Drosophila melanogaster: one gene and its partner. The protein of the gene in region 1 interacts with the protein of each later gene in a pairwise test. Each region holds a gene or a part of one and is shown on either strand. Other genes may lie near its edges. The genes, in order: Cpr65Ec and CG15080.

Region 1 (3,204 bases):
AATACAAACTTTCAATTAACAATAGTACAAATTTAAATACGATTTTTAATGATTTTGATTTCATTTCGAAAAAAAAATAAAGAGATACCAACAGTATTAAAATGTACTATTTAATAAGGTTTCTAATATTTTGTATTTAATTCTAATCATTTTTACAATCAGTAATTTTTCTAGTTTTGCTTAACTTGATAGATCACAAATATTTTAAACGGCGCGCCAAACTCATCAACTGAGTTAAATAGATATCGATAGTTTTCTATCGTCTGCGTTTCGCTGTTACTGGCAATGAGCATTCACTGTAGTACCATAAACTTTTTAGGAGCCCTGGTTTCAACCAAACCGAAAATTGGCGCCAAAATTTGAATTCAAATTGAATTTAGAATTGTATGCTCCAAAAAAGAAGTAAGCATCCTTTAAATTGTAAGTAAAACACATATGAAACGCCAACTGAAATTGCGTAAAACTGTAAATTAAACTTAATTTGTACAAGCGTAAATGCACTCTACGTCGCAATACAATTATTAATAAAATGCAGTGCTAAATGCATGACTTTGAAGTACGTAAGTTAAAGAAAATGTCTTATTCGTAAGAACGAAATCACGAGTGTGATATTTTGGACTAGCAAATCCTTGCGTTGCCCCCGAATGCAATCTCTACCCAAATTCGACAACAGTCTCGACTTGTTTATGGAAATGGTTGATGGCTCAAACAAAGTTTATTTTCAAATGACTTAAAACTAGCTCGAATAACGCTCAACATGTGATGGTGGTGGTGGCAAGCCCATCTAGAATCGTCCTTGACCCTGGCGACTCTCCTGCTGGGGATGGGTGCGGATGTACTCCAGTGACTTCAGGATGGAAGCCGGGATTGGAGGAGGTGTGGGCAGATGGGCGCCGGCCGGGTGGTAGCCATTGCTGTCGGCGGTGTAGGTCAACTGGATGAGCTGGCCATCGGGGGCGTAGTAGGCGTTCGAGCCGCTGGCATAGTAACCACCCACGCCCGATTCCTGGCCAGCGATGCCATTGGACGTCTGGTACTGATAGGCATAGCTGCCATCCTCCTTCAGGTCGCTCTTATACTCGCGAGTCTCGGCTCGGGCGTCGAAGGAGTCGGCCTGGACACAGGAAACAGCCAGGGCGGCGACGGCAAGGACGAACTGTGGACGGATAAGGATAATGGTAGTTGAAAGAGTTTTCCTTCTGGTCGAACAAAAAAATCCTGAACTCACGAATTTGTTCATTTTTTTTTTTTTGTGAATTGGTGATTGGGCTGGGGGCTGACTTGTTGTCACTGTGAACTCGCAACGAGAATGAATATGACCGAATTGGCCTGGCATGGCATTTATAGCATTTTGGCACGCCAATCATTTTGGGCCGGGCACTCGCAGTCGCCGCAAAAACGCGTATAATTTGCAGCATTGAACCTGAACTGCCCCTCTCACAGATACGAAAAAATACCCACACACTGGCACTTAAAGACTCCGCTGGAGACTCTTCGCTGATTTTAGTGCTTTAGTGCTGTTGGTGTATGTGTGAGATAGTTTTTTGTTGCCCATAAACTTTATGCTCCTTTTTGTTCAACTTGTGGGTAGCCGGTTAATCAATTCTTGTGTCTGCGGCGAGGGGTTAATTTTTCATTAACACCTCCGCAAGTTGTTTTGGTTAGCGCAATTTGTAGCTGCCCCATCGCTTTATTTCCTTATAAAATGGTTAACCCGATTACTCGCAAATTATTTTAAAGCGCCTGGCTTTGTGGCAGGATCATTTATAAATGTTGCGCCTAGTCCCCGTTGCCAAATCATATGCGAAACTTTATAATAAATCGTTCGTAGAATCGGCGAAATCGATTAAGAACCTCACATGCTGGGTCAACGCATCCATTTATTACAAAATCACCAAGCGCGTCCAAAAATGGAAAAGCCAAAAAACCGAAACCGACGAAGTGGCAAGCAACCTTAGCTTGCTGCAAAAGCCAGACGAACGACCTTGCCACCAATATTGGCAGACTGTCCGAAAGTACGACAGCTTATCGACAGCCAAGCCGGCGAGTTTGTATTAAGTTTTGATAAGAAAACTTGCGATGAACCAACGACGAAGATGACGTGACTCACGGGGATCACGAAGCTTTTGGGGGAAAATTGGGGCTTTAACCTCGTTTCAATCGGAAAGTCTGATGACCTTAGATATTTGGGCAGTAAATTAGGCTGGGTATTTGAAAAGTAAAATAGAGCACCTAAATAGCACGTAATATATACATACATATATAGGTGCTAAAGTATATTGTCATATTTTGAATTTAAAGATGTCAAGAAAGTACATTTTTTTGAAAATTATTATTTTTTTTTGAATATCTTTACTATATCTATATTGTGCCCTTATTAAATATTTCAATATAGAGTATATATATTTTAAAAAAATGTATCTTAAATTTAGTGGCAGCAAACATTTATAAGTGTTTTAAACACAAGTCCAGAAATGCCACAACTATTATAAAAATTTATATTTCCATTAACAAACTTGCCCTTTTTTATGTGGGCCATATTAAAGGTGTCAATCTGCCATCGCTAAAGTGGCCAAAAGGCATCGGCTAGCGGCAACGAGCAGAGCGCACGCTGTTTCCCTTACAAGATTTGTGTTGGCCTTTCATAAGTACATGGCTGGAACGACTAGGCTGGCCAGTCCGGACCAGACCAGACCAGACTGCGTCTGCTGCTCGGAATGAATCTGATTCCGAGCTGGGGGGAAAAGTGAATGTGATGAGGGGCGATGTCGCATGGAGGCAGAAGCAGCAGCATCGGGAGCAGCATTATCTGCCTTGTGTTGGCTGCCCTCTGTTTTGCTGGCCTTTTTGGTGTTACTTTCGGCTTTTATGCCCCAAACCGGCTGTCCGGCAATTGGGCATATATTTTTTCTGTACATTTCTTTATATACATATATAAATCTTTTTTTTTTTGGCCAATACAATTGTCCGGTGCCTGCCGCTTGGGCGGCTTTAAATGAAAAGCAAAAGTTGTTGCGATTCGTTGGAGTTTCCTCTTTGCCATTGCCGGTTGCCTTAAGCCGCTTCCGCTATACTTAACCATCCTGCCCCTCGAGGTTTTGTCATTGCTGTTACTCCTCCTCCTCCTTCGCCTCTTTCAACTGCTCCTTCTTCAGATCCCCATCCATCCATTAGGGCATCAATCTATCTTCGCGCGCATTAAGC
Region 2 (5,200 bases), on another chromosome or scaffold:
CCAAATAGCCAGCATTTTGGGCATCACCCGAGGGGCAGAGCAGCGGCAAAAAGTTGTCTTACTTTCGTGAGCCTAAATGCATTTGGCTCTCGATGCGTCGACGCATCGACAATCCAGCTCTCTCCTTTCGATTGCATAAGTGATATTTATGTCTTCTTGTCAGCGTTGCATCAGCATCAGTTGCGAATCACAAGCGACGGTTTATCTGCACCTGGCCCAAAAGATTCTACGTCTAATTGGTCTGAATTATGCCATAAAAACATGTCCAATTAAGTTGATCTATTTTATGTCGGAGTGTGGGAAATATTCGTGTCGAATTTTATGCAAATCTCGTTACTCTTTTCCGCATACGTCGCGGAAAATGCGCAAAGAGCTTGGGAAAAGCCATTCATAAACAGGGGCCTGAAGGTCGCGATCTGTTACCTTTGCCATTTGGCAGCGCCACCTTGGGCGTGTGAGCCATTTCAGTGAGACACCTGTGAAAAGGTCAACGCTAATTGCCGTCCCCCAACCATTGGCTGCCAATTGAATTCGATTGAATTTGATTCTCTATCTGCGAGGCAGGTGAAAGTGCTTTGTTCTAGAAACAGAGTTGCAAGCCAACTAAATAACATTCAGCGGAAGTTCAAGACGCGAGTCGCGGTTGAATGATCTCCGAACGCCAAGAGATCCCGTCACATAACTTAGGCCATGAGGTGGAAACCTTCCTCGTACGTCATCAGTCCGCACATAACTCACGCCCACCTGAGGCGGCAGGTGAGGCACACGGACAGACAGGTGGGCAGGCGTTATGACAAGTTGACTGATTGGATTTGCGGCGACGATGTTGCTGCTCCTGTCAATGCACTCATCGCCCGTCGCAATTGCCGCTGGAAAATTGAAATTGAAAAAAAAATGCGATTGAAAAGCGTCCGAGCATCTCGTTTGGGTTACCCAATGCATAATGGATAATGGCGGACGCTGAACGATATGCTAATTAACTTGATTTCCACGATCCATAAACGTCTCACTTAGACAATTGTTTGCTTAACGGAAATTGTGCGGCTGCCGGCATGAGAATATTTTAATTGCCCCAAAAGAAGTTGAAAAAGACCTCTTTTTAAGGCCAATTCTAGCAGACCAAAGAAATATTTGGCAACAAGCTGAGCACAAAAATGTATTTTAAACACCAAAATATTATCTGGAAAATATTATAAAAAGATTTAAATATTTATTTCTACCTGCGCTACTTGATTGCAAACATTTCAACCACATATTTAATCCCAATTTCGCACTTTTTGTTATTATAGGTTTTATAAAGTTTGTAACCAATTTGTAACAAAAGAAATGCGGCAAAGGCCAGCGAAGAAAAAATGGTTTCTACGCGTTTTAATTGCTAAATGTCAATCGGTTTATAGGTTTCCTAACAAAACAAACAAAAATACGAGGAAACGCGTACGAGAGAAGAAAAAAAAACCAAAACAAACAATTCAATTAAACTCATAATGGAATTTGTGTAGCAAGAAAACGACCTTGGCTGCAGAGCAAAGCCTAAAAAGCCAATTAAAAGCTAGATGCACGGCTCGAATGCCACATGGCACTGAGTCAGAATTATGGAATTGTTGTTATGTCTGGCCATATAGCCGCACATATACACATATATCACATATATCAGCGAGGGGTGTAGCACGATTCATAAGACCCCCACACAGTCGGATCGATTTTCCCAGCAAATGTGGTAAAAACTTGTCGCCAGCAAAGATTGCAAAACTGGAACAGCATCGCCGCAACTAACGCTAAAACAAGTTAGCATTTATGGCCGACTTGATTTGCATTTAGTGCATTCTTGTGGACACTCCCCCTTGGCAAAACTCTATCCCCATCCCCGTTTTGTTAATTTCAATTAACCACAACAAATCATTGGAGGATCATTTTTAGCTAGGAGCTATACCGCTCTGTTTGACCAAGTCTTTTGTTGGCCCAAAAGCTGTTAAAGCCGCTTTAGTTGCGCCGTTAACGCTGACTGCGACTGCGCTGCCTACTGATCTGCTAACTGCTCGGCCAGCGTCGACTTCGACGGAGGCAGTTGGATGAAAACCACGAGCGAACCACTCTTACTTACTTTGGCCCGCGACGCTTTTCATTTCTTCAGTCTGTTAACGGCACGCCAACGATGCAGACGCGTCTAAAAACCAGCTCCGGCTAACTGTTAACGCAAGATAGTAATAACTTGATTTGTAAGTGTAACACTCATACGCATCGAGTATACGCACAGTGGTACCAACGACATTTGATTTTGCATCTTTTGCCGAAAGTGCGTGAGCTTCCTGACGTCTCAAGTGGATAAAGTCAAAGTGAATTTCAAGAAATCGAAAATATAATTAATATACAAAAATAAAAGTAAAACGCTTGAATTGCTGCTAATTTGGCGAGTTGGGCAAGTTAGGATCTTAATTAAATTAAGCCAAGTGAAAGAGAAACAACAGCTGCCGTTCAGGAAGAAGAAGAAGAAGCAATAGAGGAGAGTGGTAAGTGGGGTTTTTATTTTTTATTTATTTTATTTTTTTTTTTTTTTTGCCAAAAAAGGCGAATAGAAATTTCAGCTCTCCATTCAACTAACCACACACTCAACGCATTCGACTGTCTTGGCAATTTTGCTGTTTATTTTTTCATGCTCTAATTATTTGGAAATTTCATTTTGTTTTTGCCCACCGACACTCGTTAACTGGCATGCAATTTGTTTGCCCAAAGACTTATGGACCATACATCTAACCAAAACAACCGTCCATCCTCTAGAGAGTCAAGTTGAGTCAAGCTTTATGGGCAGACTTCCTCGTTAAAAGATAAGGTGGCCAGACCCCTGACCAAAAGAAAAGAAACTGGTCCATCAGTATTCTGTGGGTTCGTTTTGGGTTTTTCATCTACATCTCTAAGTCTATCTCCATTGCCACTTCATTAACCCAATTTTCACCTGGAGAAATTTTATGTTTCGTACAAGAAAAATCTTGTTTATCAGGCCAATTTGCATACAGACCCCACTTCCGAGGGCCAGACATTTCTCTTCCCTAATCTTCGATGTGGCATCTGATCTTTAACGGAACTAATGTGTACACTTATTCGTTTGTTTGTCATTTTAACATGAGGGCAAACAGAAGAGGGAAATCATAAATTACGCCGTAGCGTCTTATTCGTTTTATATATGTATTTCTTTATTTATATTTATGCGAACTTTGTTTTTTTTTTTATGTGCGAGCGGACAGCGTTTTCGAAATTAAATACTTTCTAATTACAATAAACGCAGGCGATGGCCGCCGGCCGGCCAATTGCCTGTCGCACGTCCAGCAAAGTCCATATCGTAGCCTTTGGCAACGGGCTGAAATCACGTAGCCGCCGCATCGGCCAATGCCAGCCGATATAAAAGAGGGATGGGTTGGCAGCGGAGTGGTGAGGGGGGAAGTGGCGAAACAAAACTCGCGAAAGTGTCAAGAAAATATAATACTGCTCAGACTCACTTTTTCTTTATTGTCATGTCTTAATGTGGCGCCTGATGTGTTTATTTGCCACTAGCCTCCTCCGCCGCCAATTCATATTCCTACCCCTCCCTCACCTTCCTCCGATGAAAGTGAAACGTGCGAATGACTTTGCGTAGCTGCAGAAGCTTCCATCACTCGTCACTTAGCACGTGCCCAGCGATCCTACCCGTGTGGTCTTCGTCTTTCACGGCTTTCAATTACTCAACCGCATAATGTTCAATTTGTCAAGCGTTGAGCCCGGATTACGACTTTCTCAGCGGGCCAAACAAAAGACTTAAGACACAAACTTGCTTCATTAGTTGGCTTTGTTCGATGGAATGCGTTGCAGATCCTAATGCGCACAAGTTTTGGTGTTGATTACTCACGAATTGAGAAATCAATGCAACCATACCTTTGTTTATATTACAACTTAAATTATCCCAGATGATTTAGCCATACCAAAGAGAATTTCAATTTCAAAGATCAATATCGAATATGCCCAGCGGTCTTTCAAAACCATAATTATCTCGCACTAGTGACACGCACTGAATTCTAAATGTGAGTAATTGCAATGCATTCAGCAATATCAGATTCAAAGTGCATTTAAGCGGAGGTAAAAACTAAAAAATCAATTCAAATGGCTTCCAGGCCGGGCATTTATTGCTGGTTCGCTGGAACTAAATCGTGATTTGCAGTTGCATGTACGGCCTCCGTAAGACCCCCTGATCCTCCTTCGGCACCCCTGGAATACCCACACAGTTGATTAGTCAGCACCCGGCTGGTAGAGCAAGGCAACCATTTGGGGCTTTTTGCTCCGTTTTGTCTCTGTGTTTTCCTTCTAGACCGACAAGTTGAAGTATCTTGGCCTACTGAATTTTTTCTCACACTCCGTGTCTTGGTCACGGATGTGGATTGATTGCTAATGTTCATCTGGGCACATATATATCTGTATATATGTATATATATCTATCTGCGGCAGGCGGTTTATGTGGATACCCTCGCCAAGTTGCCGAGTTGCACAAGTCTGGTTTGGTCTGGGCCAGAATGAGGCCCACACTCGAGACGTGGCCAACAAGTACGGGTACTTGTGGCTATACATTTGCCGAGCCACTCTTGCTTTCTTCAGCTGCTCCATTTGGCGGCTGCTTTGTTTTGTCAGCGCTTGCTTTATGGTTTTTCATATATATAGAGTAGCTACTAGCAGCTACCTTAAGTATTGCTCTGTTGCAATTGTCACATTGTTTTGGGACACTTTTCTGCGGCTCAGTGGCGACGACGACTGTGGCAATAGTTTTGTAATTAGCTTGGCCCATCATTTGCGCAATTCGATTTGCGATGTCCCAGGTGATAAGTGATATTTAAGGCACTAATTTCGCTTGTATCCGGTTATCCGGCTTTTATTACGAGTTGCGCAACCACAGCGCCCCCGCATACCAAAATGTCGAGGGAGAAATACTTTCGCTTTCAAATGCTCGAGCATAAATTCTTGGGATTACGCAAGCTAAATGCTTGCGGCATGTTTTGGTTTGCTGAGCAGGTGCCGCCAATACCAAACCAAAACCAAAAAGCCACCTCCACCAGCTAAACAGCCACTTACCTCATTTGGAAAGCAGCGAGAAATGAAAGTTTTTGTTTTTTCATTTTTCTGCGTTGCGTGAAATTTACATTTCGTTTAATAATTTCAAACATTTCTTCGAGGTCGCTGTGGC

Evidence for each region.
Region 2: the proteins of Cpr65Ec (region 1) and CG15080 interact in a two-hybrid assay, tested with the Drosophila melanogaster proteins (one large-scale study listed by BioGRID).

The regions. Positions count from the first base shown.
Region 1 is NT_037436.4:7,091,320-7,094,523, reverse strand, and holds Cpr65Ec (cuticular protein 65Ec), read right to left. Parts: upstream 1,321-3,204; 5' UTR 1,241-1,320; coding exon 1,229-1,240; intron 1,157-1,228; coding exon 785-1,156; 3' UTR 683-784; downstream 1-682.
Region 2 is NT_033778.4:18,781,172-18,786,371, forward strand, and holds the start of CG15080 (uncharacterized protein), read left to right. Parts: upstream 1-2,127; 5' UTR 2,128-2,507; intron 2,508-5,200.